Styela clava: one gene and its partners. The protein of the gene in region 1 purifies or fractionates together with the protein of each later gene. This does not show direct contact. Links are inferred from orthologs where the notes say so. Each region holds a gene or a part of one and is shown on either strand. Other genes may lie near its edges. The genes, in order: armadillo repeat-containing protein 8-like, E3 ubiquitin-protein transferase MAEA-like, ubiquitin-conjugating enzyme E2 H-like and zinc finger MYND domain-containing protein 19-like.

The links.
Region 2: the proteins of armadillo repeat-containing protein 8-like (region 1) and E3 ubiquitin-protein transferase MAEA-like purify together in Homo sapiens (affinity purification with mass spectrometry; 5 studies listed by BioGRID and IntAct, with this or other methods). This does not show direct contact. The link is inferred for Styela clava from reciprocal best matches to the Homo sapiens genes ARMC8 and MAEA.
Region 3: the proteins of armadillo repeat-containing protein 8-like (region 1) and ubiquitin-conjugating enzyme E2 H-like purify together in Homo sapiens (affinity purification with mass spectrometry; 3 studies listed by BioGRID and IntAct, with this or other methods). This does not show direct contact. The link is inferred for Styela clava from reciprocal best matches to the Homo sapiens genes ARMC8 and UBE2H.
Region 4: the proteins of armadillo repeat-containing protein 8-like (region 1) and zinc finger MYND domain-containing protein 19-like purify together in Homo sapiens (affinity purification with mass spectrometry; 4 studies listed by BioGRID and IntAct, with this or other methods). This does not show direct contact. The link is inferred for Styela clava from reciprocal best matches to the Homo sapiens genes ARMC8 and ZMYND19.

Annotation. Positions count from the first base shown.
Region 1 is NC_135258.1:9,308,100-9,315,937, reverse strand, and holds armadillo repeat-containing protein 8-like, read right to left. Parts: upstream 3,166-7,838; coding exon 1,066-3,165; 3' UTR 594-1,065; downstream 1-593. Other genes in the region: protein archease-like, read right to left, coding at 4,535-5,002; serine/threonine-protein phosphatase PP1-gamma catalytic subunit B, read right to left, coding at 7,369-7,838. UniProt on the Homo sapiens protein: Component of the CTLH E3 ubiquitin-protein ligase complex that selectively accepts ubiquitin from UBE2H and mediates ubiquitination and subsequent proteasomal degradation of the transcription factor HBP1.
Region 2 is NC_135258.1:5,334,145-5,342,014, reverse strand, and holds the start of E3 ubiquitin-protein transferase MAEA-like, read right to left. Parts: upstream 3,005-7,870; 5' UTR 2,923-3,004; coding exon 2,869-2,922; intron 1,878-2,868; coding exon 1,692-1,877; intron 1-1,691.
Region 3 is NC_135258.1:13,913,841-13,922,119, forward strand, and holds the start of ubiquitin-conjugating enzyme E2 H-like, read left to right. Parts: upstream 1-5,176; 5' UTR 5,177-5,347; coding exon 5,348-5,400; intron 5,401-7,533; coding exon 7,534-7,610; intron 7,611-8,004; coding exon 8,005-8,079; intron 8,080-8,279. UniProt on the Homo sapiens protein: Accepts ubiquitin from the E1 complex and catalyzes its covalent attachment to other proteins. E2 ubiquitin conjugating enzyme that transfers ubiquitin to MAEA, a core component of the CTLH E3 ubiquitin-protein ligase complex.
Region 4 is NC_135254.1:73,013-81,344, forward strand, and holds the start of zinc finger MYND domain-containing protein 19-like, read left to right. Parts: upstream 1-5,101; 5' UTR 5,102-5,264; coding exon 5,265-5,315; intron 5,316-8,332. UniProt on the Homo sapiens protein: May be involved as a regulatory molecule in GPR24/MCH-R1 signaling.

The DNA of each region.
Region 1 (7,838 bases):
AGGAAATGTATTTTAGGGTTATATTGAGCGTATCATCACTCTAATACAGTCATAATCTCCTTGCTTTACATGCAGAGTTGAAAATATAGAATGCACACAACCTACACAAAAAAATTTTCTTGCCTTGCTCACAGTTTAATCTGGGAAAGCAAACCACAAAAAATCAATAATGTCACACAAATCTACTTAGACATGTTATTGGAATCTGTATGAACCTGTCTCACCGCAAATCAATAATCATTCTTGCAATCTTATTTGACTAAACTTCCTGGTATTAGAGTATATCCTTTGTTAGTTCACCTTAATAACAGATGATTGCATCAGCCCTGTGAATACAGCACATTATAATTGGAGGGAATTACCAAGCGAAAAGTATTACGCATTCTAGAAATAAAACTCACTCTGTGAATACCACAAGGACTTACCATGTATGTGCTGAGTTTACCACCAGATAATAAATAACCGAAGCAAGGATGATTATCAATGAAAAACTTCTTCCATTGAATAAACCTTATACCTAGTCAATGGAATGACATAAGCGACACCACTGCTTTAGTACTTTTAGAGATTTAATATTATAATAAAAGATAAATATACTTAAATTTTCCATCTAGGTATGATTATAGGGAAATAGATATCGATAATTTGGTATATATAAATAATGGTATACTTCATTTTATCGAAGCTATTTGCCTTGTCAAGAACTAGTTTTGTGTACTAAGTAACAAACTGTACTGTCATGAACTTGAATACCAGAAACTTGTGTGCCATTTCTATTTTGTTATAATGAAAGAACAACAATTCCAAAGTAAGAAAAAATATATCAAAAAGGTTTGAAACTTTCATTCGTGCATAAAAATTTTTTGTTCAAACGTCAATGACCAGCCGTCAAGGGACTAGTCTGTTGAACTCAAACCATGTCATAGGCTGTTTTCAAAAAGATTGCAGTTAAGTTACCGGTACTTCAAAAACTTATAAGCCTTCTATATATCAATAGCTGATTGTCAAGACTCTGGTCAATCAGTTGATTTATAATAAAAGAAACAGTACATTTGTTACCAAAAATTATTTTGTATTCTGAAACTGCTGAAGTACTTTATCCACTTTATCATAAAGAACAGTATCGTTAGTGGTTTGTAGATGTTGTAAGCTGTTCACTGCTCCCAACTCTATCATTACGGCCTGACGTTCCACACAGCCTGTATTCATTCTAACAAAATTGTATATAAATGATACTGAAGCCATTTGCAGATTAAGGTCAAAATGCATCAAATAGCTAACAACTTGCTGCAAAAGTTCCGTTTCATTCTCGAGAAAGGTCTTTACTGTTGACCCTCCATCCCCACCCGCCACACCTGCGAGTATGCACACTATATGGGCACGTATGCACTCGTACTCTGAATGTAAGCCAGGATGGCCAGTTCCAGCATCAGAGAATGCAGTTAAAACGTGTTTACAAGCTTGTATGATATTTACGCCATATAATGGCATTATTTTATCTTGATCCGAGCTGAGTATGTTACGCAGGAGTCCCAAAGTACGTATAATAACATCACGATCACTGTCTTGTAACAATTGCAATATCTGTTCAAAGCTGATCGCTTCAAGTATCTCTAATTTTAATGCTAATTCAGCATGGAACGACATATTCATAAAGATCCAAATAGCGTTCAGTCTTAAATCCTCCACATTTAACCATTCAGTTATGGTTTTTATCAATCCAGCTGCTTTCAAGTCCATTTTGCAGGGTGAAATGTCAAGCATTAGGTTGCACAATACACTGCTGATGATCTTTGTTTCATTAATATCTTGTGCAAAGTCCTGCATCAATTTTAATAATGATTTCCAAATACCTACGTCCTGAAAAGTTGTACGAAGTAGATGTACGGAGCGAGATAAACTTAAAAGGCATTTTAATGCAGCCGAGCGAACTAATGCACAAGGATCGATTAGAGATTCTGAAATGTGTTTTACCAGCAGCTCTGTGGCAACTTGTTTTCGGATATCTTCGTCATTTGAAAGAAGTGAGGCGTACGCTAAAAATCCTGCTCTGTGTAACTGTTTTCCATGTTTTAAAGCGTGCTTGAAGAATTTTATATTGTGTTCGTTCTTTGTTAAGCTTACTGAAGGATATTTAAAATAAGCTTCTAATTTGTGAGGAAACTGTTCACAGATATAAGCAAGTCTTTGCAAAGGTGGATCAACTTCGATCAAATACGCAAGAGTTTCGGCACTGCAAATGCGCTGATCAGGGTCCGATTCCATATCACACATTCTAACCAAACGTGTCAGCACTTTTCTGACAATAACATGATCCCATGAATCTGCAGTTAAAACCCGCATTCGAAACATGAAAGTCAGACATTTTGCAGCACGCATTTGAATATCCGCAGGTTGACTTTCATTAAGTAGTCTTATCACAATTTCCATAAGAGGTTTGTCCTTTATTTTTGACATGGCACATTGCTTACAGGCTTCTTTGTTTTTGTAACATAGAGCAGCTAGCGTATCCAAGGCCTTCACCTTAACCCTTCGAATGGGTGAAACCAATAAATCACCAAGTAAATTTATAATATCAAGTTTGATCAAAAGATCTTTATGGTTTTGTGCAATACAAGAATGAGCAATAATCTCGCATGTACATTCTTGTGTACAACTGGAACGATTGATATTTTCTAACAATTTTGGAATTATTTCAGAAGGGTTGATGTATAACAATTCAGTAGTTCTTTCAGTAGAAGTTATGATAGTCCGTAAACATCTAACAGTGGCTTCGTACAATTGCAAATCGTTTGTAGTAAGATGGCTACATAGAGTTTCCAAAACACGGTGATCTAATAAATGCTTTAAATTTGCATCAACTCCTTTTGCAAGACTGCCAAGTACAATTGCAGATTGTATTTTCAATTCCATCGAAGTGTTACTGTCCTCAATTAAGAAGACCAATCTGGGAACGACTCCTAGTACAATAAAATTCGTTTTTTGCTTTTTGTTTCCAATAACTAAGTTTTTGATTTCTTTTATGCCTTCAAATACTATACTCTCATCAGTATCAAATATTTTTCCAACGTAGGGCTGATACATTGTTGTTATCTCGGAGAGCACACCTTGAACCGCAACCGGGAAAACCTCGCTCATGTCATGTTGGTCAACTTCCATGCTCATTTTTCAAAATAATCAACTTATCTAACAACTGCTTCCTTCGCCTGTCGCCATTGAAATAAAAATCACAAAAAATTAGTTCACATTTCATACAATCTATGAACATCAAATACAATGAGAGAATAAAAGGCATGAATAAAGATGTGCACTAAGTCGTATAAAAAAAAACTTCATCAATATCTTAAAACTTGATAGAAGTAATTTTAAAAAGGGTCAAAATAACAGACAATAGTTTTAAAAGTACATCAAGGTTCGGGGCAGACGCTTCAACACAATAAACGTAGATCTTCTTGGACCATTGTTGACACTATTGCAATACAATTAAAGTTGGAAATATGTACAAATTTACCCAAATCTTATACCACATAGTCATGTCATAAAAAATTTATTCATAAATAAAAATGAACTAATAAATTATATTCCAGGCTATGACACAATGTATGTTGATAATTACATTCAAGAGCTTGACGTCAACAGTACTAAAAATATTTCCATGCTATTGCCAGGTACCATGAACTTACACAAGAGAGTTATGTCAGTTCTTGTGTTTATAATAGACACACGTACTATTGATGCAACTTGATATGACCATGGACGTCATAGCTGGCAGATATTCAAGTACAATTCTAATTTTGGAATTTAGCTGAAGGTTACAGTTTCAAATCATGTTCGTATTGATCACTAATTTGCATAGTATAGAATTTGTTTTTTTTAACAAGAAGAATCCATAACCAATTATGGGATTCTATTTTTCCTTGTAACTTTTGCACGAGGAAAAAGTATTATAGGCCAAAGATATTGAACTGATACACTACTCATTAGAACCTATTTAGTCAAGATTGTCTGATTGGTATCTCCGGGGAATGAAAGGGCATATGGTAATTGAGCGCTCAACCTTGAATGTATTGATCCAAACAATTAAAGTAATACATGGGAGAAGGATAGTTAAATACAGTGGTACCCAATTTTTCATTGATTTTTTGTAGGTATTGCCACCACCTAGTCAGCTCAATAGTAAGAAAGGAGAAAGCGAATGATCACGCATGCACAAAATTATGTATCAAATTGTGTATTATTAAAATCATAATTTTTTGTGATTTTCAATTTTTTAACAAACGAAAAAAAATTGTGAATGAGGTAGACTGACCAAACAAACATTTGTATAGAATTATTTTATGTTTTGAAAACGGACAAATTTAACTAATTTTGAAGAGTGATTCACATAAAAGTAAAGGAAGAGTAATGATATTCCAATCCCCAGTATGGTTTCAAAAGTTATAAAAGGGGTTCCGCAGTTCTAAAAAAAGGTTGAGAATTGCTAATATATCTCATAAATCAAGTATAACAGCTAAACAATTCTTCTTTCAAAAAACTATATATCAACAATAACAAAGGTTTGAGCAGAGCCGGGTGTTGTTAAGATCTCCATTGCACTGTATGTAATTGCTTTGATTTCAGTACCTTGTCCGCCATGTCTTTTTTCGTCGAATTCCTCTCCATATCCGACAGCTTTTATTTTAAATTCTTTCTCGTCAAACTCCGTTATTTTTACTTCCCTGGGAATATAATACGGTACACAAGACATCATAAATAAGAATTCGTCTAAAAACTTGTACAAAAGTGATTCTAAATCCTCTCCTTCGACTTCTATTTCTCTGTGTGATTCTGGACAAACACCATCGATGTCCGTCATGTAGTTGAACATTCCCATCGCAGCTTGTTCAAAAGCCTCTGACAAATCCTCTCCCCATGAGTGAATTTGTACATCTGCAGTGTGATCAAGGTACTCAAATTTTCTCGTCACCTTCTCAAATCTTGATAAGTCTCCCCCACCAGCCATCTTAGCTTCGTATTCCTCAATATTCGTTTTTGCAATCAGACTCGCTACTTTTATATTTCCGCAGATTGAGATTCATTAAATCTCCATTGTTCGTAAGTATTTTTCCTTTTTCCAACTAATCCATCATTACTCCATTATTGCTGCTATTACGACCTTATTAACATAGATAAAATCTAAATAATACACAAATACAATGAAGTTTAATGAACAAGACAAATCATGGGTACTGCTATCCTATAAAGAAATTAGATATCAAATCATATTCAACAAAGCATGTATCATTTACTAGATTACAATATCAATTACAGAATGAGTATTGTATTAAAAGGATGTTGATGTGCAAAAATTCATTTTAATTTTAGATATATCATTTTAAATATAAAATTTCACTGGGAGCGCCCCAAAAATATTTTATTTTTCAAAAGTTTTAATTTCATTTTTTTTCATATTATTATCCAAAAATTTTCATGCTTTAATGGATATGATTTGATACCTGATTTCCCAACGGGATATGTAAAGTTTTGAATCTTTTAACTTGTGAGAGAAATTAAAATGCAACAACAATGACTGGCCAAATTAAATAAAAGCACTTTAACAATGCGTAAGAAGATCAAACCAAGCTCGCTATAAACTACGTACGATGACGCAGTTGAATCAAGTGTGCACCAGCCAGAAAATAACCACTAATGACTTTAATTCATCGATAAATAATCATTTTTTACTGTAATGAATAGTATATTAATTTCAGCGCCAAATCATTCAAATAAAAACTTTTTGGAACATCACTAATCAAATCACTGAAAAACTTTGATAGATAATTTATGTGTTAGTATAATTACATATGCCAAACTGTAGTCAATTTCTGGCCAGCGGCATGGATCAACAGCACATAACTAGATCCCCATAAAAGACAGTATATGAATGATGATGAAGCGATGATAGGAGCAATTAACAGTCAATTAAACACATGTCACATAAAGAAATGTGCTATAAAATATATCACATATAATACACATCCTATCTCGTTACCTCTTTCCATGCATCAATATAGAATAATTCATTCAATAGATTAACTCCAACAACTTGATAAAAACATGTTAACTTGATAATCTGTTTGAACATTCAATTTTACAATTCTCGGAATCGTTAATTTTGATACAATCCCAGAAACAAATTGCATAAAATACGATCATGTCTGCTGTAGGTTCCATGAATTATGTATAAAGTCTTCGGGTCTACCAGAAAGATCAAAACACGCCAATTAAGAGGGAAAATCAACTTTGATTTAAAAAATTTGCCATGTTATGAAAGGTGGAAACAGTAATGACAATATTGAGTCAATGTGTCATGAAATACCATTTTTTTACTAGACTAAAGGGCTGTACATTTCGACAATATTTCAAAAACGAGTCAACAAATAACAGAAATGATGACAACTATAGTTTGTAGATGCTGAAATAAGTGAAAATTGATCAACAGATAAATTTACCACTTTTTAGTAAGTAATATTGATGGATATTCAATTTCGAAAGATAATTATGTAATTACGATACTTGAAAATTCAAATAGAATTCAACTGAACTGCCTAAAAATTAGATGCCAGGGATATGAACATAAAATAAAACCATAATGGCTGCATTTGCTTAAAAAGGGCAAAGAGGATCAAAAGGAAAATGGATACAGATTTTAATATATTCCTATAAATATTTTAGTAACTGACGTTGAATACATTATGATGAAATCGAGTTAAAAAATCATTTCTGAGATCTACGTCAGAATCATGAAGATATTTTCATCTTGATATAGTTTGAAACCTTTTTATTCGTAAAATTTGCCGAATGGTTAGGTCTCACGAGCATATGCATAATTGGTCTACAAGTTCTGTTTTTGAATAGTATTGGCATTCCATTTTACAAACGTGTACAATTGCTACCAAATGTATGGAAGATTGTAATTTGGACTTATCAATTAACTCAATGCCAGACAGTGCAAAGACTAAGCTGCTAGGAAGAAGGGAACAAAAAAGTGATCTGAAACAAACTAGTACAAAAAATGAAACAAAGTAAACCACTCATTATTGACACCTTGAACAGCAATTCTGTACAGATGAGTGTGCCAATTCGAATAGCTTTAGAAGTGAACTTTGTGTATCTGCTTGATGAACAGTTAACACAAAGACAGAGCTGTCAGTTTATTTGACCAACGAGTCACTGTCTTATATCCAATTGAGTCCCGTTGATCATTTGTGGCCGACAGTGGTAACAGAAGTCCAAATCAGCTCGATGATGGTAACATAGTCTGTGCATTACTAAAAACGGAGAAATCGATAATATTATACAAAAAAAAAATTTGGTTTAGGTAGCACATTATTTTCCTGCTTTTCCTCCTTTTCCTTTTCCTGCTGAAGCTCTCGGTGGTGTTACAGGTCGTCCTGAATTGATGCCTCCATAAGGGAACTTTTTCTTATCAGCTGGTTTGAGGATTTGGAACGAACACATCAAAGTTTCGTCGACACTCATCATTGCACCTGCATTATCAAATTCTCCACAGTAGTTGGGAGCACTGAATAATGTGACAAGTTGCCTTTTTGCAAAGAACTCGTAACCATCTTCCACAACTTGATGAGCTCGACAAATCAAATCAAGATCCTGTTTGTGAAGAAACTTCGCGACAACCTCCGCACCAAAAGTGAATGAAACACCCCTGTCATTTTCCCCCCATCCAGCAACTTCTTTGTCAGGGTCGGACCATAGCAGATCACAGAGTAAACCTTGATCTGGCACGTCTGTCGGTCTCATAATGCGACGAATTTGTTCCATCGATTGCAAATCGGGTG
Region 2 (7,870 bases), about 4.0 Mb from region 1:
TATGTACTCTGTGTGAAATTTGCTTGCTGATTCGGAGAAATAGAGATATAGAATATTATTAAAGGGAGTGCCCAAATATTTCACCCAATTTTATAATGACAATTAAAAATTTCTTTGTCTCTGTTTATTAATAGTTTTTATTGTGCTTGTAGTTTTCATTGATCATACCATAAAATTTATAAAAAAATTACAATTGTTATTACTATGAAATCGGGCGAAATATTTCGGACACCTTTTTGACTACGGTAATTTTGAATGCGTTTCAGTACTAAGATTCCTTTTGAACACCCATGGCCATAACACAAACTGCATTTTAAAATATCACGAAATGCTAATTTGAATCATACATTTATTATTTTTTTGAGATCACGAAAACTTTTACATTTTATTTACATAAACTGTTTGACATACAACAGGAAGAACACATTCCTAATGATAAACATCAGTCAGGAACAGCTGTTCAAACAGACATGATATTTGATAGGGCACAGATGTGAATTGCCAGTTGGCACACATTTCAATTAAAATGTTTTTGACAGCAAATTAACAAAATTAATAAACTGATGTGCCATTATAAATCAAGATTCAGAAAATACAAAAATGACAAAGTTACACACAAACACTAATTCATGATTAAAAAAAAAAAACTTTTTCAAATTGCACAAATTTCAATTTTTGAGAAAACAGCTCACTATCTTGGATGTCTTTATTTCTATATAAACAGCATATTCTTCACATAACACGCTTCAAATTTTTAATAATATAAAAAGCATGTTTTAAAACTTGTCTAAACTGCACGTTTTGTTAACCCTGTTTTGAAGCACAGAAAATAAAAAAGTACTTCCGTCAATTTAGTACCATTTTGGAATAAAACCAAGATGAGAGAGACAAATCCTTCCAACCCTACATTTTTCGAATTATTCCCATTATAGTAACTTGGCTCAACAATTCTTATCTTTACAAATTTCGGTAATTCGGTATATCTTGTTTTGTCTGAAGAAGTTACACTATGATCTAATGAAAACTCATAAATATACTTGCTATTTAGTGGAAAGCGATTATATTATTAATATTATTTTATTCAAGTCTTGCTGCACACTAACACAGATGTATTTCTGTAACCTTTCGTCTGACTGGAGTCAGATTTATTCAGACAAGCATGATAGTTAAGAAATGCTTGTCTGAAGAAATAAATGTTATTCTGTAGCAAGACTCTTGAATCAAATGATAGTTGTACTACTGCAGATGGTATAGTCCAGGGGTGCACATCTCAAATGAGGATATGTGCCAAATTTTTCAAAATAATCTTGTCGCGTGCCACGCACAATTGCGGTATTGTAAATTAACTCCAGTAAAACAAAGAAAATGCAATAACAATACATAATAACGAATATCTATTTATCGAAACAATTTAATATTGTCCTAAAAAAAACTGCTGATTTTGATATAAACGTGATATTTTAATGTATATCATAAATATTTTTTTTTACAAAACCGTTCGCGTGGCACGTTCGAGCGTAAGGCGTGCCATTAAAACCAAAGGATTCTTACAGTGAGGTGAGCTTATTGTTTGCATTTGTGGGCACAGCTGGGCATTTCAAAATATGTGATGATTTCAGAATCGAATCGTCAATATTTTTAAATTGAATTAAATCTCATATATTTGAAAAGTAGTTGTAATGACAACCCACCTTTCTTTTCATGCTGTTAATCTTTTCAACTACGCCGTCAAGTAACGAAACAACATTGCCAGCAGTCGCATTCCCTGTTTCAATGCATCTTTCTAAATCTGTAAGAGCCCCCGCTACGCCATGGAATTCTCTATCTATCGTCTTCTGAGCAGAGCGGAAACGCTTGTTAAGAATTTCATAAGGAACCTTAAAAATATAAGTTTTATTAGAATTATCAAGCAAGTGGGCCAAAGGCAAATTGTCAGACAACTTTGGCATTGCAAAGTACCGTAGTAGTCGAAATTTCTATCGCAGGGCCGGGTCCAAGCCTCATGTTTGATAGTAAACTATCCCAGACTCGCATCCCTGGATGCAAATAATTGATCCTGGAATCAAACTATATGCTCATTAAATTTGAACAAGAAGATTGTGGTAAATTGGGTAATCTATGATATGAAGCTAGGTCATCAATTCTAATATGAATGCGCTATTAGGAAGACTTGCCCGTTAGGATTAGATTCTTGCGGCCAGCCATCTCAGAGAAGATTACTAAGGCAGACCTAATCTTTTAAGATGTTATGAAGTTGGTTCACAACATGTCTCATGCTGGTTTGTTTATTTTAATCAGTGTTTATGTTAGATTTTTTGCTTTAATTAATCCACAACTGTACCAACACGATAAGATGTGATGGTGGCCAAGCCAGACAGAATAAAAATACTATTCCACATTAATTAAAATAAAATCGAAAAATTTAGGATAAAATATAGAGTTCCATACAAAAGTAGCAAAAAAAGAATTAAAAAAAAGATAAAGTATGGAGCCGCTTCAAGTACTGTAAATTTGAAATTGAATTCCTCAATTAGGATCAAAGCGACAAGAATCTAGCAAAGCGATTCACATATGTGCACTTAGTGACTTAGTATCCAAACATTCCAGGTGCTCATTCAGATAATTACAATTTTGTTATTTGGTCGGTTTACAATATATCTTAACAAGTTTTTTTTTTATATATTTTGATCAGTGTTCATTCAATTCTTTCACTCAATTTAATACACTCATAGGGGCCAAAAAACTACACATAAATTCAATAAATTCCTTTCAAAATTTAAATTTTTTTTCAAGACTTCCTGAACAACCTGTATAAACAAACAGAAGAGAGTCATAGAAGGAAGCACTGCAACAAAAACACAATCCCACCTTCAGTGTGACATATTCCTGTACTTTAACGTCCATTCCGATGGATGAGGTCATTCCTTTTTCATAAATTTGCAATAATATAGGTTAAATTAGTGATAGTAGATAAACTAGCTGTAAGCCTGTAATGAATCATTTTTAAGAATTAATAATGGATTATGGGACCACCTCTTACCAGTTACAACCATGACTAATCAATATTAAATAGGTCATAGCTGGTGACTCAGGCAATTTGCAAGCCTCATAAAACGAAATGGTAGCCAGTAGCCTATGATAATCTGAAATAATGACGGCCTTTAAAAAAACATTGAAAGACTTCCTCCACCATCCAAGTCAGTACATCTGAAATTATTACCTAGCTAGCTATTCACAGTGACTGGATTGAGCTTTCATATCTTTTTTAGAATAAACATGAAAAACAAATGAAATCTTTCTTCGAATATATAAGTTTGTAGCATTACCCCAACCAAAATGGATGTCTGCTGAATAGTTAAGTATTCTGAATTCTGTCACATCTTCAGTTTTTATTTTGTATATCTATGAGGATTCCTTTTTTAATGTATTTGAAACTGTTATTGAAATGAAAATGCGACAGCAAGCGTGACGATTAGCACAATGCACTCTACCGCCAAGCCAAATAATAATTGAAGCATTTCTGTTGAGTAAAAGGGAATCCTAACACAATAGCACAAAAGAGACGGTGTGTTTTATTTCTAAGTTAGTATGCGACCAAATCATAACAAAGTAAGGAGACTTTAAAAAACGGAAGCATGACAAATTGAATTTTTTATCACAATGTGTGACCAATTAGAAACTGTCAAATAATTTTCAAAACTCGAAACTGAAACAATATATAGCTTCTGAATATTCAGTTCAATACTTATTACATTGTTATTGATTTTACTGACTAATATAAGTAATAAGTTTGCGATAAAATATGACAAAACTTCACGTTATGTAACCACCATATTTTTTTTAAAACAATTGTTAAATGTGCAAGACCTTGGTCAGACGAAACATCACAGAAATAATTTGTGTCAGTGTGCAACAAGACTATTCAATCACTTACAAAGTGAGTCATTTATTTTTCTTATTCCTTGGATCACTTGGCGAAGTGTTGTCTGGGAAGTGGGAATACATTGCGTTTTTCAATGGTATACAAACTTTTAAACCCACACAAAAAGTTTTGAGTTATGATTTCGCTTACATTTGACTTGAGTTGTTTAAAAAAAATAACATACAAATACATACAAGACATTTAGGTGCTCCAGAAGTGTACGTACCAATATGAAGATATCTAATTTTGATCGCCTACTTCACATCAAGTTGTGTAAAGCATCTGGAACCTAGTGGGGTTATTCATTTGACTAACACAGAAATTCCCCGAACTCAATATAGAACTAAAATAAGGAAAATCAGACTAAAATTATGATTATGATCTATACTTGTATATATATCGATACTGCCCGGCCGTGATGAATAAATTTTCTTGAATATTTGTGGATCTATATCAGGGATTCCCAAACCAGGGGTCGCAACTCCAAATTGGGTCGGAGTGATAAGTAGGTAGAGTCGCAAACAGGTCATGGGGTGTGTGGGGTCGCTGAGTTATGGTAGAGGATGGATGTACATAACATCTAAGATACAACAAACCATGTTAAATTTAGCAGTTTTTACCATGGCTTACTGTAAAACAGGTCCATAGGCATTGCTCTATGCTTATGCTATAGAAAATGTAGGTGATTATTGTGACATCACTGTTTGGTTTTAGCTTCTTTTACTTATTACCATCACATCACATCTCAAAAGTCCAGTGAAAAAAGCTCTAAAGTTCCATGAAAAATATATATATTGACCTGGGGTCGCACTGGACACTTGAAAGTTGTCTTTGGGGTCGTCCTGAAAAAAGCTTGGGTACCCCTGATTTATATATATAGAGATTCCTCCGCAGTCAAACATAATTCGTTCTAAATTGGTATTCGACTACCGAAAGTTTTTTTGCTATTAGAAATATTGATGACTAATTAAGGTAAATATCCTAATAACCATCCTGCTGCGGCGAGGAGTCCAGCAATCCTCTTGCACATAATTTATCCCACAAAAGATTCAAACCCACACAGGGTAATCAGAGGTGTGGTGCTGAGGGTATTCAGGTATTCTTAAAGCTCAGCACAATGCACCACACCACTGCAGCACTGAGCCATGTCAGCATGTGACTGCACTTTGTTACCGGTAATTTTAAAGACATTGGATTATGCTTCGTTAAATTTCAATATGTAACGAATGGAATCAATACCGGGTACCTCGAAGCCGTTTTCCTGATCATATTAAAATAAACTGACAAACTGCTGCCAGTACAGCAGTATGGCTGTATGGTACCGTACCGCTGTACCGGTACAGGAACTCAATACAATACAATTTTATTTCGATCTTTCGTCTACAATACAGAACGCACACAAAAAAACAATACACAGAGAATGGCGACAGAAAGACCGGGAAAATGGGCAAAAACTAGAAGGATTATAGCAAACGTTGTAACCAGCGTCTGTGCCTATTCACTCACACAAGTCTGCAAGTGGAAAAACACATCACGACAATCTAACTTAAAAAAATTCATGAACACGAGAAAGTGATATTCACGGGCTAAGCTTAATTTTACAGTTGTATATAAATTTAATGGGTAAAAGTGGTATTGCGAAATAAGTAGAACTGTAGAATGAGAGTTACCGCCTGTGACGATGCATGTGCCGAGTTGCGAATCCTAATAATGAAATCTAAGTGATTAGGATTAGCTGCTGTTTTTCATATTCTTAGTAAATAAACAAAGCAAAAAAGTAAACAAACAAATGTAGAAACTCGATAACTAGTTTAGGGCGTTGCTTTTTGTTTAAGGAAATGCAGAAATGGTTAGAATTCAGAAAGTTTTCATTTATTAATTTATATTCTTGAGCATTTGCCGATGATGGTAGGCCATAAAATCAACTTTTTTCAACCAGTTTTACAAAGCCAAAATTTTTAGTATGCAGACATGTCGACTGATATCCTAAACTAACATTCCGTTTCTTTTTGTCGAACGCTTGAAAATCCAGCTGTGAAAATCATGTCTGACCATCAGACAACTTTTGTTTCTTAATGATTATCACGAGCTTCTTCTAAAGACTGGAAGATATCACATTCCCAGATAAGTAGACTAGATACCGGTACCGTAACGGCCCTAAGACGTAGCTTCGATCCCGATTTGAATCCCAGTCTCAAATTCTTCTCTCCACTCCCGGAACCTCTCTTTCCAACTAAAACACTACGGCGCGGCGGTGTGGCTCAACGGGCTAAGCGTTAGGAATACGCTCGCCACCGCACCTCTAACTACTCTGCGTGGGTTCGCAGGTTCGAATCCCATGCAGGGATGGTTATGTGCGAGAGGATTGCTGGACTCCTCGCCGTCGTTGGGTGGTTCACGTACGGTAACCGCTGGTCGGTTACGGCTTCCTCCACCACCAAGTCCATGCTTCCGAAAACAAACAATACAGTAAATCTAATCCCATACCCGACTTGGAATGGTAACCGGACGAGAGGCCGTGGTTCGCCATATGAATAAGCCGTCTTATCGGCTTTCCTCTCCCCCGGGATAAATATGTAAATCCTATCCTAAATCCTATCCTACCGTATATGTATCAATACAAACGTAAATTTCTGATCGGCGGTTAATAGACAAATTTGTTTTTTTACTCATAATGCTATAATGTCATAACGATCGTACCGGTACCGGTACCGGTACTGATGCTGAGTGATACACCGGTGCCGGTACCTCGACAAAGATAGACCTTAGTCAACATAATAACATAAGAGCAATTTGCGGCGCCGATAGAAGGGTGTTAATCAGCTGTTTCGTTGTTGCGAGTTAGCAGCTCCGGTGCGTGCCAACATAAACGACTCTTCTCTCTTTTTCCGGATTTGAGAGACCAACGTAAAAGTACACATAACACGATCAAGTTTTATTTAAAAGCAGCATTTTTTTCGTATAAGTGTGCCGTAAGCTTTTCCCCCAGATAATATGGCACAGTACGAATAAATAGTTTGGGAACTGCTGCCTTACGCGATGTCCAAGCAAGGCATTCGTTGAAGCTGAGAAATGCAACCTACGATACAAAGTTGATTACGGTAAGTCCAACGCCTCAACCTGTTGGCCATCGCGCTTTATAACCATAGCTATAGTATAGAGCTGACATGGGCAAACTACGGCCAGTTGGGTAATTCAATCTGGCCCGCTTGATGCTTCCTCAACCAAACTAAAATTTGATGTTTTAGCTAAAAAAATAGCTCAAGGAATTTATCAAAATTGCGATTAAATTTAGTTTTGGCACGAGGCTTATTGTTTTCCAGTTTTGCTATTGTAACACTAAATAGTTTTCATACAATGTTTTTACGTCACACTTGCATGGCCCGCCAGTATAGGCGGGCAAAATATTTGGCCCCTAGTTCAAAAACCTTACCCACCTCTGGTATAGAGCCTGAAAAAACTTGCATTCAACTCCCAAATATTCAGAATCTGATTCAATTCTGATGTTATAACAGTGACAGAATTTTTACCCAATGAATTTAATTTACACATGCAGACAAAATTAATTAGTCTTCTTCAACAATATTTTTTCTGTAACTGGGAATCTCACAGCTGTGCATAACTTTTGAATTAACAACAAGAACAAGGATAGATGTCCAGTAATTGTATTATTAACCTTCATGTGGATTGCCATAAGGTGACTTAAACTCCTATTACATGTGTAATCATCACCAGTTTCATAGCTGCCATGTTTAAATACTATATTCTCCTTGACCCCATCTAATTTCCACCTATTACATATCACACATGTGTAGTCATTAGGGCTGGGGATTTTCCAATACCCGATGATTTCAGAATCAAATCAAATATTTTTCTCGAATCGAATCTCGAATACTTGGGAGATATAAAATTGTGAATTGTATGTAACATGTCCTCCATACGCATGGC
Region 3 (8,279 bases), about 4.6 Mb from region 1:
ATACAGAACATTACGTGTCCGAGAAAAATCTGGACATTACTTGAAGGATTGATAGAGGCGACCAGCAGTGGTTCAAGAATGACGAGGCGACACCCCATACATCAAATCAGACGCTTGCTTTCCTGCGAGAGAAGTTACCAGTGACATCCAGTAGGCACCTTAATTATCGGACTGAAACCTCCTAGAACTTGATATGTACGGAGTTCGAAAGACAATTTTTATCAGAACAATCCTCAAACGATTGGTGAACTCAAGGCTGCGATTGCAGGAATAAAATGAAGAAATACTCAAAGAAGAGGGATTGACAATGTTGCAAAAAGAATGCAATTGCCGAGTAGGGCATTTGGAACATATTCAAGAAACAACATAATTTTTGTGCAAAACGTCCTAGATTTTCCGAGACTTTTGGGTACAAACATACGCAAGCAGAAGTTGAAGTTTAGACAAGATTAAATAATTCACTCCATTTTCGTATAAGTAATCGAGAAAATGATGGTCTCGTTTTTTGAGGACCACGCTGTATAATACTGTTTTTAATATAATTCGGTTAAATATGCTGCTTATGTCACTGTATTCGATATTTTAAACTTACGCAACACAAATGATAAACCGACTTTAAACAATGTCAGACACAACATGATATAACAACAGGCTAAATTTTTGCCTTTTGCCAATTTATGAATTACATATGTAGCCTTATTATTCAATGACCCAAGAAATGAAAATGAACCAGTTGAGTCGCAACATGGAGATGGTCCTATATGGCGCACGTCAGTTCTATCAGATACTCAGCTCTCACATTTTGCTCTTAACAAAACTAAAATTATAACATAAGGGTGTTGTACTTACACTACCGCTTCAAAGCATCATAGAACCCGCTAGTAAAATGAAGCTGTTATTCAAAACAGTAAAACGAAACGTGCAGTGCATGGTGGATGAAGCGTATGCTGTATGCGCCATGTATTATTGATTCATTGTGAAACAATACAGATTTAAAAAAATCATAATACCTATTCTACGTTAAGCGAGAAATTTCCAGCACCGAAATCACAAGTAAACTAGTTTGAACCAAAACATAGGAGTAAATGGCATGAAATATCATACTACTTGTGAGTTCCCGTTTTGATGTCAGCGCCCCTAATTGCCCAAATCGCCATAAGCGCCCCCCAAGTTAGGGAAAACGCACACAAGGGGACGTTTCCGCCCACTTTGGGAGCCGCTGGTTTATATTACCATAAAGGTGCTCCCGAAGTATTCCTACCAAGATGGCGCATAACATGAACATTGTGTTATAAAATAATTGTTTATGTTACCAAAAAGGTGCTCCCGAAGTATTTGCATCAAGATAGCGCACAATCTGAACATTGTATATGCACCATGTCAGGGTTCAGGATGTGCGTAATCTTGGTACGAATACTTCTAGAGCGACATTATATCTGAACAATAAAAAAAAACTTTATGTCTCAAAACGAGCTTCGGCCACGATTTTGCCGGACTAAGAGTATTGAAGTACTTGACAACAGATTAGAATATTACTTGTTACCCCCGAATACTGATTAAAATTTACATTCAAAATCGGAAAAAATATTGCCAAATCATTCATCTCAAATACTCGACCCAAATTTGCGTTTGATAGAAAGTAAACTCAAATACTCCTTTAAATAAGAACAAAGACTAATATATGCCTCCAAAGTTTATTGTCTCCAAATTTAATCAAGGAGTGTCGCATGATAGATGTTATAGAAATATTTTATATAGAGTTTTTATATAGAGCGTGCACCCTTAAAAACTGGTACCTAAACGTCGTTGGATTTTCCAGTATGACTGTACCCAGCCAGGCCAGCCTGCTGTCACTGTGCCAAGGGGATATTCACTTTGGTCGTTGCTATGCTGTTCGCTGCACATGGTTACCCCTGCCGTACTTGACAGTGTCCGGAGTCTCTTTTTTGTAACAAATTTGGTTTTTGGAGTTTAATATTTGATATATTAATTTATATATATATTGTTCGTCTTATTTCTATTAAACTTGTATCAAAGTTAGACTCTTATCACAGGTGTCGCTGCTCGATAACCAACTTAAAGTTTATGTTCACTGTGAGTGCATTTTCATTTGGATGAAAAATAAACTACTGACTGACTGACTAAACAATAAAAAGACATGGTTTGAAAGATAGGATTGGTAATCTGATTTGAGGAGAAATAACAATAAAAAGAACTCCCAGAGGTCCAGAAGAGAATAAATTTGTCACTTCACATGCCTTGGTATAAAACGTAAAAAATGAACGGGTGTGAAAGCGTGCACCTTTTAATACTTGGGATGAATTTTGATTTTGAGCAAATTTCCGTCGCTACGGACGCTATCTAAGTGTTTATTTTTCATTCATTTTTTTCATTCATTTTTCATTCATTCATTTATATTTCATTTTGTTGATATTTGATGGACCTATGATTTTACACAATTTGTTTTAGAATGGTCGATTCACTATAGTGAAAACAAGTCGGTACTCGTTAAGGAGAATAGTGGGTCAAAACATTTTTATCTGTAAGCATAAACTTTGTAACAAAAGTTGATAGACATTTGAATTAATTTCGAAACGCTTTAAGCAGTCATTAACAACACGACAACAAAGTAAAATATCAAAAAATGCTTCAACAAGATGAGAGTGAGACCCGTAGCTGTTTTGCCCATATTAATTGAAAATGTATATTTAATGAAACATATGTAATGATTAATTATTTCAATTCATGTTGCTTGTCCCCGAAGTCATTTTTTATTATTATTACCGGTTCGCCGAGGTAGAAAGATTAGAAACCTATGGTACTGGGCAAAACTCCACTACCTTTCAATGTTTACTATTTCTAGTTTCTAGATACATATTACCTGTATCGTACATCGGAAAGAGTTGATAACCAAGCTTCAAGGCAGACAAGACACTCAATTAGCACTCGAACAAAAGCGAACCAAACATTTTGTACTTGATAAAGTCTCGCAGATGAATTGGTGGTATGATTTATCAATGGTAGGCGTCTGAACCTTTTTTATTCTAGAAGTGACAGTCAATGTTTGATTCAGCATCATTCAATTTGACTTCTACCTTTCGGGTGATCAACTTATATTTCTAACTTCTTGTTTCCCATTACCTTCACCATAATTTTGAATCAGTTTGAATTTTTGTGGTCTCTTCTCCAGTCGTGCACACTTGGCACTGGCATGTGCATATTGGACTTCTTGTCGGTTGTGTTGGCGAATATAGTGTTTCCATCGTAACCATACTCATATCTAAATTGTAAGAGTTCTTACTCTGTTAGGCGAACTTGACAGCACTAATGACAAGTATTCCAGATGGTGGTAATCATTATAGCAGTTATGTAGAAAAACGTCTGCAATGCTCGCGAGAAAAAAAGATTATGTCAGTTAGGCTCTTACGCTACTGAAAAAATTATATAACCTGTAGCCCACATTTTCAGAAAAAATTGTATAAGCAACATAGTTTTTAACTAGGCTACATAACATTGCATCGTTTCATGTCATGATGTGTTCAAATAAATTTATTTTGAGATTTCCAAAACAATAATATAATATGTTTTGATATGCACCGAACTAAAATGAGTCATCCTTATTCAGGTGTAGAATTTCTTACCCATATTTTTATGATCTACGTTTTTGATCTAAAATGTTTGTCTCTGCGGACATCAAGACTGCATTACCCGCGGCTACCCTTCCACAGTAAAATTATATGATTAGCTCTTTTTTAATATTGTATGTTATGGTTTTTTACTGGCTGGATAAAATAAACTTGACTTGGCTTGACAGAACCTTAACAAGGGCATGGTCAACTCTCATATGTTGTTATTATTATTCAATATATTCATATATCTCCATAGTAGTCGGTACAGGCCATTTTCCAGTTTGATTAGCAACATTTGAGGTTCCAACACGTTGCACACCTTTGACGTCACTGCAACGCTACATCATCAGCTGATTTCTATGACCCCGCGACCTCACCAAAACAATAATATTCTACTTCGTTCTCGATGTCCTTTGTTTGTGAACGTTGTTGCGTCCGTTCGCGTTGTTCGTATCGGTATCAAATGTTTTGTCGGTATGTTGTTCAGTAGAGAAATGCAACATCTAGTTGTTAACACCATTATTATAGTTGTTGATTTGTAAATACAGTGATTGCGATTGCGAATCGTCTTCGGTAGGACAACAAGAAAAGGGCGTTGATGAAAAATCACAACAATAAAAAAAATCATTCCCACCCTGCTGCAGAGTCTGGGTGTCAGCTGTTTCGTGCAATACTGTCAATGATGAATATTCTGACACCTATTTGAATACATGGATATAACATTATTGGTACATACCTATGCAATTTACAGATTTATGTAATTTTGTTCATGAACTGTCAGACAACAGACAATGCTGGAAATATGAATACAGGAATATGGCACCATACCGTACTCCTTGTATTCCTATACTCTGCCATAATTCTAATATTATTGTAGTCAAAAAAGTTCTGTATATGAAAATGGTGATAAAGTGCTGTAGTGAGAGCAAAGTCAGAAAGTTGCTATGTTCCTGTATTTTCATATGTCAGTACTGCAGTAAGTTCAGAAGTTGTAAACGAAAATGAATGATTTTTGAAATACAAGAATATAACTTGTGAAAACAGAGAGAAAGCTTTAAGCATGAAAGCATCTTGCATTTTTTATTTGCTATTGACAGTTATGGATTTGCGAGCCATGGAACAAGTCATACTGTCATAAGATTCTGTAGTTCAATGTTTCAATTCCAGATTTTTTGGCATAAATGATTCAGAAAGCTGTTGCTGATCAGGAATTGCATGATGCACTCTGCAATGATTGAGAACCCCCTTCATTTACATAACAACATAAAGAGATCTAAACATGTGGCTCTGTTATAACAGTATAAAGTCATACTGTTATATCTGTATAACTGCATTGGCCAAATCCACATATGGATATTTACACCATGACGACAATGCCTTATAGTTGAGTTTATTTGAAGCCCTGGTTTGGTGCTATTCATATTCAAACAATTATTCATTGATTTCGTATATACTGGAACTGGTACATTCTGTTTTGCCGATATATTTCAAAAAATTTGAAATAATTTTATTTTAATACTTATCTAATAAATCAAAAAAACCTTTAGATTTTCACAGGTATTTGACAACATATTCAGCAAACATTGTCTTGTTGCTAATAAAATATTCTCATTGTCTTGACAACAATTTGTGAAAAAAAGTGCATTGTATAAAGAGACTGAAGAACTTGCAATTGAGAAAAGAAAATCTTTGTACCACTCAATTGATTGACGGCAGCCATGTCTTCACCAAGCCCTGGCAAACGTCGTATGGACACTGATGTTATAAAACTGTATCCTTTTATTTGAAATAATTTGAAAATTTTTTGCATTATTTTATTGTGTTCCGTGTTTTATTTGAAGGTTATACATTTCATTCCAGCATTGAATTTGATAATAAAAATATTTCCAATTGATCAATTGATTTGGCTAATAAACCAAGTTCAGCATAGCACGAAATGTATTGCATTCTATTATTTGTTTAGGCTTTGTTGGATTTTCATTTTTTAATTTAGTTCAGTCGAATTCACCTGAAATTAATTCAGCATCTTTTTGTCGGAAGTGACTGTAAACAAATATGCATGTAGATGTAATCTTTCATGCTGTAAAAATAGAGTGCCAATTAGCAACTACTAACTTATGATACCAAGCAACAATATACGTAGCACTAGTGGATGCTGGCATCGCATGGTATGGCCCTTACAGCTTCATTACGAGCAAACTCTACACTTCAACAAAAGTCGGTGTCCTCTGTACATGGGGCTAGTCTGATTATGATTTAAAAAATACTTGTAATCATTGAGTATGGGTTTTAATCTAAATCATCCAAGGCCAAATGGAGAATTTATTAACAATTTAATATATCCTAATTGAGACTTAATGTTATTAATGTGCGGTGAACAAAAGCTAGATAATCTTTAAACTGATTTTAATCTTCTATGAGTCTCATTAATCGTTAAAAAAAATTTTCAAAATACAGAAAAGGTGATCTAAAATTATGTTTAATATATCCCCATATTCAATTAAAAAAACTAGTTTGAAATATTTTATGAAATTCCCTTTTTTATACTGATTGAAAACATGTACCGGTAACCTATTTCAAATTTAATCACATATTTATTTTGTTTTTAGCCTTTGTATATGGTTCTGCTCTTACATGTTTAGTTTGAACAAATGGAGCAGATGTTTTAATAACTATTATTTACGACTTGATAAACTGGTCCAAAGTGACTTTAATTACATGTATTTATATTGACTCTCGTTTGATTCATGGTTGTTATTAGATAGTAGATGTTATGACCCTCACCTTGTCATATGATCAGAATTTACCACTAAGAAGAATATTGATTTTTTGAACATTAACCAATCATCAGTTATTCTTTCAATGATAGATCAATATATCAGAGAAATTTTACCTGGGCAATAATGATATAATATTACAAGACAAAATATGATAGACCTAATAATTTTTTTAGAAATACTGAGTTCTCAGATATTTTTTTTCAGTTACAAAAAAGTCATAATATTATGAAGTAATTTTCACATACAACTTTGCTGTATAAGTTATAAAAACAAAAAAAATATCATTAAACTTGAATATCAAACAATTCCAAAAAGGCATGTAAATATTTCCAATTTCAAGAATTTGACAAATAGGCATTGCTGGACATAATTAATCCCTGATTAGAACCAGAGGAAACGTTGCTTGACCACATGACCTAGGTCTTTATACCATTTAAATTTCTATTTTACTTGTCTTGATCTTAAATACCATTTATTAAAATAATATATTAAGCATGTTATGATTAATAAAAGCTGAGATCAATAAAGAGTAACAGCTGTTATACAGGCGTGGTAATTAATCTTTCTTTGTCGCCCTTGTTAAATTTGATTATAAAAATCTTGTCACATGGTTGTATTTAGTCTAGGGATGGCAAACATGTTTTAGCTATTTTGAAGTCGAACATTGCAGAAAGGTTCTAAATGGAACTGGAATGGTTTTCAGTAGTTTATTTGACACTCATAATTATACCCAATTTAAAAAAATATATATATAAATTATTAAATGATTTCAACATAGCTTTATGATGTCACAATTATCCAGTCATTTCAAAACATGAATTTTATATTCACAACTGAAAGAAAATCCCTGTTTTTTTTAAAACAATAACGCTTAAGAGATGAGCTGTATAGTAGAACTCTGTTGAGATGAAGTAAATATCCTATTCTATTAAACTACACAATGTATTGAATGGTTAAAATAATAAATATTGAAGCAAATAATATTTACCATGAGCAGTTTAGTTCAATGAAAAATATTAGATGGACATATACCATTTCTTTTTGTTGGTAAAATAACATTCCATGACATATTGATCCTCTTTATATGAGCATCATTTCCTTAACTACATGAAACCAATTAACAGCATTGAAAGCAACCATGAAGTGACTGTACTGGGAGGACTTAATGAGTTTGTGGTGAAATTTTGTGGCCCACCTGGAAGTATGTTTATTATTATTCCATAACTAGAGCTTATGTAGTTACTTTGATAAACACGAGCCTTAGATTAACTGGACCTTGGTAGGATATTTCTTTCAATGCCCCAGGCTTGGTTTATAGGAATACTGATTATATTTGGCACAAAACTAGATTTCATTCTGATTCTAACAGTGTAGGCTTTGAATATATAATGAATCTGAGTGACAAAGAGTAGTCATAATCAATATAATCAGGACTAAGAAAAAAAAGCTGTAAATTTACTGTTTTTGTTGGGTAAACAATCAAAAATATCCACATCTGGGTAGCGGATTGTTTTCATATCACTTCCCAATCTGGGTATGAACTTGGTGGCAAATTAGAGAAAGCACTCTTAAAATTTCTATCTTTCATTTTCCAGCTCCATATGAAGGTGGAATATGGAAAGTTCGAGTTGATCTACCTGAAAAATATCCATTCAAGTCACCTTCAATAGGTAATAAGAACATAAGACTATGTTGAGAAAACTTTTCAAAAGAGTCTTCAAAAGAGGATGTAAATTGAAAACTATAGCATTAAATACATATCGTCCTGTTTTTTCATCTGACTTTTCACACAGTTTTGAGTTTTTATACTGTTTATTTTGATTTCTAAAATTCATTAAATAAGTGATTACCTTGCGAAAATGTGTATATC
Region 4 (8,332 bases), on another chromosome or scaffold:
TTCTCGTCGCCTTTCGCGTCCGTTTTCCACTCGCTTTTGCTACTCGGCGTCTTTTTTACGTGTAGTACTTGCCTTTTTGCGCCTGTAACGAAACAAAATAATCTCTATATCTAAGAAGTTTTGCTCACTTGGAAAGCTGGAATGGCAGGCAAGCTGTAAAGAGCAATTCTGGACATCACAGACGTTTTTTTTTATCAGAGAAGATTACAAACGCGATAGCCGAAAGATTTGTTTGGAACATTTTGCAGATAATGACAAAATTCAAAGTTAGTAATTTTAATGTTTGCGCTTAATCATTGAAATTTCATTTGAAGAGGGTGTCATACAAAACTGTGCTGTGATACAATTCCATAACACAAAGTTTGCACCTATCGAACTTGCTTTTGTAGGTGAATTTATTAGACATATTACATATTCAGTTAATCGTAGGTAACATTGCTGGTACATAATGCATCGTAGATAGGTTTGTTTAAATTCAGGAATTTAGCTCATAGCCCACTAATTAATATTATCTTCTATGCAGGAGGTTGCAGGGCTGAATTCAACTTGCAGCCTTACCGATCACCTGACGATGCTCATTTAATTTGACTCGAGCAAGTCTTCTTGAAATGCTTGTGTGGATGGAAACTACCTATATTTTTTGCCTTCCTCCGATTTTAGACAAATTTATGCTCAGGGATTTCGCATATAATTCTCATTGATTGTTGGATGTTTATAATTCCTATTGATTGTGAATTCTGATTATAACAAAGAGTTAAAAAAATTTTTATCTAATTTACTGGCACCTTTTTCTTGTCAATACTCCAAGCTGAGGTAATAAACAAGAAAATACATTTATGTCATCTGGAAGCAAAATATGCACACTAATTAATAGTTTGGCACATTGAGATGATACATCATGACAGAAAATACAAGTTAAAGATATGTATGACCATCACATGGTAATTAAAATAAAATAAAATTAATAGGGGCTGTGGAGTATGAAAAGTTCAAGACAAAGAAAAGAACAAATGTTCATAGCTCATGAACTCTCAATTTTGCCTCCATTGCTTTGTGAAGGCCAATATATTTCGAGTGGCTGAATTGGTTTACCTTTATGATAGCAACGATTTTGTATTTAATATAGCGAGATTATTTCAATTTAATTGAAGTGATATGATTTCCCAAAGCAATGCTTGAATCGTCTAGAATAGATCAGTGGTGTCAAACTCATGGGTTTTCGAGAGCCGCATTGCATTTTGGAAATTGTAAAAAGAGCCGCAAACAGTTTTTGATAATGTATACTTAAAAGATATTTTTAAGATAGTTTTAGTTTGTGACATATATTGTGATGCAACTAAACAGTTGGATTAAGTTTTATTATTTTCTTCAATTTCAAATGCAATTACATATTAATATTTGCATTCCACTATTATTGCAACATTTGCAAGTTACTGTATTTATTATAAAAAATCCTAAAATTCTATGTACAACCATCAAAATCATTTTTGAACAAGCTTTGAATAAGGAAAGAATAATACATACACTAAAAATAACTTAATCTAAATATATGAACCTAAAATTAACAAAAATACTACAGTATAAACTCAATGTTTTAATAATTACATTTGTCCTGACGTTTGGCATCGTTTTTGTGTCACCAGCATACTAAGGCCAGGCTGAAATGATTTTATAGTACCAACTCTAACTTACGAGGCCACATGATCATGGGTTAATCTGTGCAAATGTTTAATTAATTCCGGTAATGCAAAAAAGTTACTTTTATCATTTCATGTATAGATCAGTAAAAAAAAAAATGACAGATTTTTTCGACAAGACATTTCGCACCACATTGCGTGACATAGGATTGCTTGAATTATTATTGATATTGATTTTTAGTAACTAAGTCGTTGTATAATTATATTAATATACAAACACATGGAAATTTTCTGTTCGAAGTTGGTCTTCGAATTTTTCATATTGACTGCTGAGCTTATTCTGTTTTTTCATTGTATTGATGGAAATATGACAAATTAAACAATGTGCTTCAGAATTTTGTGAAAAGCAGAAATGTTGCAACTCCCATTTTCTTCGAAAATGCCACCTTCTTCATGTACTTTGCGTTTAATTTAATCACTCAAGTGTTTTATTCAAGTATTCGTTTGCTAGCTTGGTGTGTATATTCCTAATTGGGTCAAAATGTGGACAAAAAAAATTAATATTCCAAAACTACTTTCAGTAAATTGTTTTCTGTGTGAATATTCAATTTCACTTTAAAAGGTTTGAAAAATCTATTACATTAAGATAAAAAAAAACTTCCAAAATACTATTACAATTATTGTTAAGCATTTGAGGGCCGCACTGGAAGTTCTTTGGGGCCGCGAGTTTGAGATCCCTGGTCTAGATTGAAGTTGTCCAAAAAATATATGTTAGTATTTTATCATGAATGATGATTATACCCCTTCCGGAATTTCTTCTATAGTACTACCAAAAGTTGATGAACTAAATATAACACAGGTGCAGTGAGTTACCCGTAATCCTCATTTTCCAAAGCTGTTTTAAGTATGTCTGGCGTGTTTTGTGCCTTTTTATAAATAAGACCGCTTATGCAATATTACGCTTTGGAATTTTTAGTTATTTTCCTTAAGCCCTGCAGGATGTGAGGGCCATACACAACTCTACCGGAGGGTCAAATGTCTTTGCATGCCTCCATAAGTTGTTTTTCTATTGCAAACATTTATGGAGTACTCTAATTATATTTCTTGGAATCACACTGTCACTGATATGTCGCCAGACTTCTGATATCTCCCCTTCTGCTATAGTTGTCCTGTGAATAAATAATAGAAAATTGAGATTAGACGAATAGTTGAAAGTTTTGCTTTATGTCGGCTTAATTTCTTGATTGATATACTTACTATTTCTGCTATTGCATCTTGTGCTGCAGGAGTCTCACAATGCTTAGACAGGTTTGTCCACAACTTTCACATCTGAAGAAAGAGAGGAGATTTATTAATTTTCGTTAAGAATAAATAAAGCAGTCTATATGATTCAGAATGGAAAAGCTAATAAATCCAATATCTCATGTTTTATGTAAAAAATATTTTACTGAGTTTGGTATATAAACCAACTAATAAAAGGGTTTAGTCAGAAAATTACAAGCATTCGTGGCTCCAAATACTTGAGAAATCAGACTACGACTTCAATACGCAAATAAAAGTGAATGCGTAATAGTATGTTACAATGAGCAGCAATCAACAATGAGTATATATCCTCACTGATTAAAAAAATCTAACTGGAGGTGCATGAACTATTTGAAACCATAAGGTGTAAGTAAATATGTAATTTCGGCAAATGGGCAACTACGTACCGTACTGAATTAATACCTTCGTAGTATTTGACAAAGGCTGGCTTTCCCACATGTACTTAACAGTGCGATGCCCGGGTGTGATATACAACAATAGTATTTACCTTACCTTTTTTCGATTTCTTTTTACCTTAACTTTCCAAAATATCATTAAAATCGACAACAACTGTCAAAGCAGGCACGAACACCATTCGTGCTACGCCTTGAAAGCAGCACACATCCGCTCGTTTTCGTCTCGTCAAGTATGTGCATTGGAGCGTGCTATCGAATACGATCTTCGGACAAAAATGCCGGAGTTGCGCATCATGTTGTTTAATGTCATTGGTGTTCCTTCATTCACAGTCAGAAATTTGTTATCTTATGCGTCGCTATGATTGCATATCAACGCATTTTTTTGATAAAAAAGAGTGAACTAAAATGTAGCACAAATTTAAAAACGGGATATCACAGGCATGAATACACATGCTTGGAATCACCACAGTGTGTACAACGTAATTTTTTCGAGGTAATCTTGTCGTGGGCTACCAAGCGTGACTTTGTTAATCAAGTAAGATTCTGATCCACTCGATCCTCGTCAGTAGCGGTAGTTCAGGGGAAGCGTAGAGATATGGGCAAACATGAGGCCGAGTTCGAACCCCACAAGGTAGAGTTGTAGAGATACGCCAACGGGATAGACGGAGTTTCAGGGGTGGACCAGCAAGCAAAGCAGGCAGTTGAGGGGCAACGAACAAGGTGAACAGAAGCTTCAGGTATGGGCCAGCAGGCAAGGCACGCGGCCGAGGGCATCTACCGGGGTAGGCTGAATCTCAGTGATGAACCAGCAGGCAAGGCATGGCAGACTGAGGAGCCTCAGAGATGGACTAGGCCCAGTGAGAGGAGCCAGGGTTGGGTCAGCAGAAATAGAGGAAGCCAAGAGCAAGCGCGGAGAGAGGGGAGGAGCAGCAAGAGAGAAGAAGGGGAGCAAGAGAGAAGAAGGAAAGTGTAAGCAGGGGCGAAAATGGTTATGCCACGCCTACTAGAACGGCGTTTAGTGCCTAAATGGTAAAACGGCTTTCCTCTTCCCCGGGATAGGCTAAATATGTAAATCATATCCATCATTCCCTTGAGTGAATGAATCCATAGTTTGAAAAAAGGCCTTCTCGTTATCTTGAGAATATAAGGTTTTTTCCATGTAAAATATATGTGATCTCGGTCGATTCTATTTCAAATTAATTACAAATGTACGTAAACATCAGAACTGGAAAAACCACTTTAAAATTGAATTTGTGCTACATTCTTAATGAAACTGGAAATGGTTTGGCAAGGGCAAATGTCATTCGGTTTTGAATTTTCCTATAATTTTATTCTTCAGGATGGCAATTGTGTTGTTATTGCGGAATTTCTCTCTGGTATACTTCTTGAATCACAATCAGGTTTGGCGCACAGGGCAAAGCACAAAAAATACCCTACATTGAAGTCAGGGTGGCGATAGAAGTTTCTGAGTATCTGCACACATACTGTTTCCTCTCTCGTCCGAACGCCTACAATCTAGCTCACCTAACAAGGGTTTCCTGCTGTCATAAAAATAACGAAAATAAATTAGAGTAAAGATTCAATCACATTAATGCGAGGGGTGGTTGAATTAGGATTAATACGTCATACTGTGCGGCTATCTCATTAGAGTAAATAACAGAAATATTGTCGGTATAAACATGTATAACTTCAAAATATTGTGTTTTTGGCCAACAAAAATGTAGGATTGGTATACCAGATTTTAAGTGAAGGATATAAGGGCGTACTTCAGAAAAGATTGACGAGCACTGCCCTGGCCTAGAGTGCACAGAAGCTTTTGTAGGTGGCGCCAAAGAGTTCGCGGCAGCTGTTCGTCGATTCTGTTCGGTTGTTTCGCGCTGAATCGGGTTGCCTGAATATCTTTCCACGAATGGCTAATGTCAAGCTGGGAATTGTGAGACTTGGAAGAGTTGCCGGAAAGGTGAGTCTTATGTATATGGATGATATTGTTTATAAAGTGTATAGCCCCAACATTTTTACGCCAAAGAGTGTTTTTTATTCCATATTTTTGTAGGAAAAGCACTGTTGTGATTAGGGCCTTTTTGAACCTACTGGTACCGATAGTTTTCTAAAACTAGGCCGATACCGATGTTTTCTCACCTACAAATATGGCTACAAGTAACATATTGTGTTTTTCTTGCAAAAGAATTGAAATGTTGAACTCATGCAATGTGTGCATGGCAAGAAAGAACACATATTGTAAGGGCAGGAAGCTTATGAATCTCAATAGCTCCAGTTCAACAGTCTCAGATGTAGTTGAGCAGAGTTTTTCTGCATTGGCTCCATTGCTTTTCTGCATTGGCTCCAACCATACTTGCTCTTGTGTTTTGCTTTGAAATGGCTCTACAAATTATACCCATCTTTTTTTTTTAAATCGGCGAAACCTTTCGACTTAATAATGATAAGCATATCTAACAAATTACGCCACACGAAGTATTGCTATACTTTGCTCTGACCGCTAGAACCAGCCATCTATTGCATATCAATACAAGAAGTTAAATCGCGACTTGAACGACCAAAGCGCAAGGGAAATCCAAGGCCGTCGTTGCGGCGAGAAAACAAAAGTAATAACTGTTCGATTCTGGGTGCTCGTTTGCGCGTTTTGGATGGCAGTTCGTATAGTTTGAAGGGCTCTATTATGTCACTGTGACGTCGTAATGATGTAATTCTTGGATGGTGTAGTCAGGTGGGGGTTAGGATTGAAACATGAATACATATGTTAGGTACGAAACTACATGAGACCCCATTCTATTCTATCAAAGTGTATTTATTGATTGGGACCCACCGAGTGTTTATGTTACACAAGTTTGACGCACGAACGATACCCATGCGTGTCTTTGTCTTTTTTATTTTGAATAAAAGTTTCTGTGTTGAATGAGGGTGAACTGACACATGTATTAAACCTTTATAAAAGTTTTGCCAGTTTCCCATATTTCCCCAATCTTTTGTGTGTTCATTGTTTGGGTTTTGTGTATGATTTTTTTGCGGGAAAATCAAAATATACTTATATACCATTCTGTTTACTAATTCAGTATTTCAATATTCAAGTTCAGTACCACCGCGTTTCCCCGAAAATAAGACCTGCGGTACCCTGAAAATAAGATCTGGCCCGAATTTTAAAATGATTTTAATATAAGGCCTCCCCTTAAAATAAGACCTGGTCAATATCGCGAAATTTTTTCTGACTATGGGTATAGCATGAAATCTCGGGTCTAGTGTAGTTTCGTACCGAAAGTACTGTAAAAGTGCCTAACTTCGGACAGTTTCTAATTTAGGACAAAAATTTTAAACGACCATATCTTGTCTAAAAGGCGTCGTATCTTGCAAATTCCAATTATTATAGGTAGCGCTGTTATATATACATCTATTGTTAATTCTTTTATTGTTGCATGATTATTTTTTTGGTCAGAAAACGGGAATTTTGCCAAAAAATGACTGTCTGGTATTCAACGGCGCAGAGCGTCGCTCATACTTATTAAGCTATCATCGTCAAAATACCATCATTCGGTAGAGGGCGATAGCAAAGTATATACATTATCAGAGTGATCGCAAGATGTTGTAGAAGATTTGAATAAAACCTCTGTTCTGAATTGAAAATTCCGTAAAATTATTGAGATTCCAAGCTGCGTCAAAAGTAACGTCAATCTCATGTAGATCATTTTTTGCTCACTTCTGACACGACGCCACACTGGTCGTGGAAATGAATTTTGACGCCCGACATTGACGCCAAATTAGCATTTTCCGTTTAGATAAAGACGGCGTTCCAGTGTAATATTTTTGTATTTTGTTCGGTCCATGTGTGAATATATGCCAAAATCAACTTAATGAGAATACGTGTCTTACTCGACTTCAAAAATCGAACATATAAAAAAACTAGAAAAATTCCAGTCTATATGTATACTGACTTAACAATTATTTTATGAAATCGAAATGGCAGTTATTGAATACAGCCTGGGTGAATTTTATTCACTCGAAGTGAAAAATTCATTTAATTTCAAACAAAAATCCCGCCACCTATCTCAATGTTAATTAACAAGAGTAAGTTGAAGATTAAACTTTACAATTGGGTTCGCCGTATATTTGATATCGATTTATCAGCGTAACATCAACAAAGCTATCCGTCGAGAATGATAATATTTCAAAGACTTACAATACAAGCCTGTTACAATATTTCATTATAAATTAAAACGGTTTACATCAGATATGTAGTTGGTTAATGTGGTATTATATTGATCTGAATTGACGAAAATAACGAACGAAAGATGTAAACATTATAAGACGATGAAAGTTTCAAATAATGCGTTGTCGTCGCGGCGTTGATTTTATGTTACGACGTCAATCGAGCGTCTTATCTTCACGCAACGACGTGACTAGGTCACCCGCATCGGAAGCCTCTTTCTCTCTGTGCGTTGCAGTTTTGCATTGAGGAAAATGGCTATTCGAAGTTAGGGCTGTGAAGGATAACGGTCAGATGGCAAGAAAAGTAGAATATTTCAATAGTAAAAACCCAAACCCAAAACCCAAAATTTGCAGGGAATATTAATTACTGCACGAATGTTTTACATAGCAATTTTGGCGTCGTTTGGACAATAAATGTTATATTGTACAGTTATTGATGAAAATATGGTAATTTTGTCCGAAGTTAGGCGCTTTCACAGTACTTCTAGGGGTTGTAGCATGATAATTTATGCGTATGTTAATTTTAACCCCCACCTGACTTCGTCATCCAATAATTATCAAACTATCATCTAATACGTTCGGACGATCACTCGACATCGAGCAATCTATTTCTCTCGTTTCTATCAGAAAGTTCTTTATCATAGGTGCAAATGCCATTTCGCGCGGCCGTAGGTAACGGTATACTTTAGCAAACTCTATGGCATGATTAAGACGTTGTAATGACGTATTATATCGATGGTGTAGTCAGGTGGGGTTAGG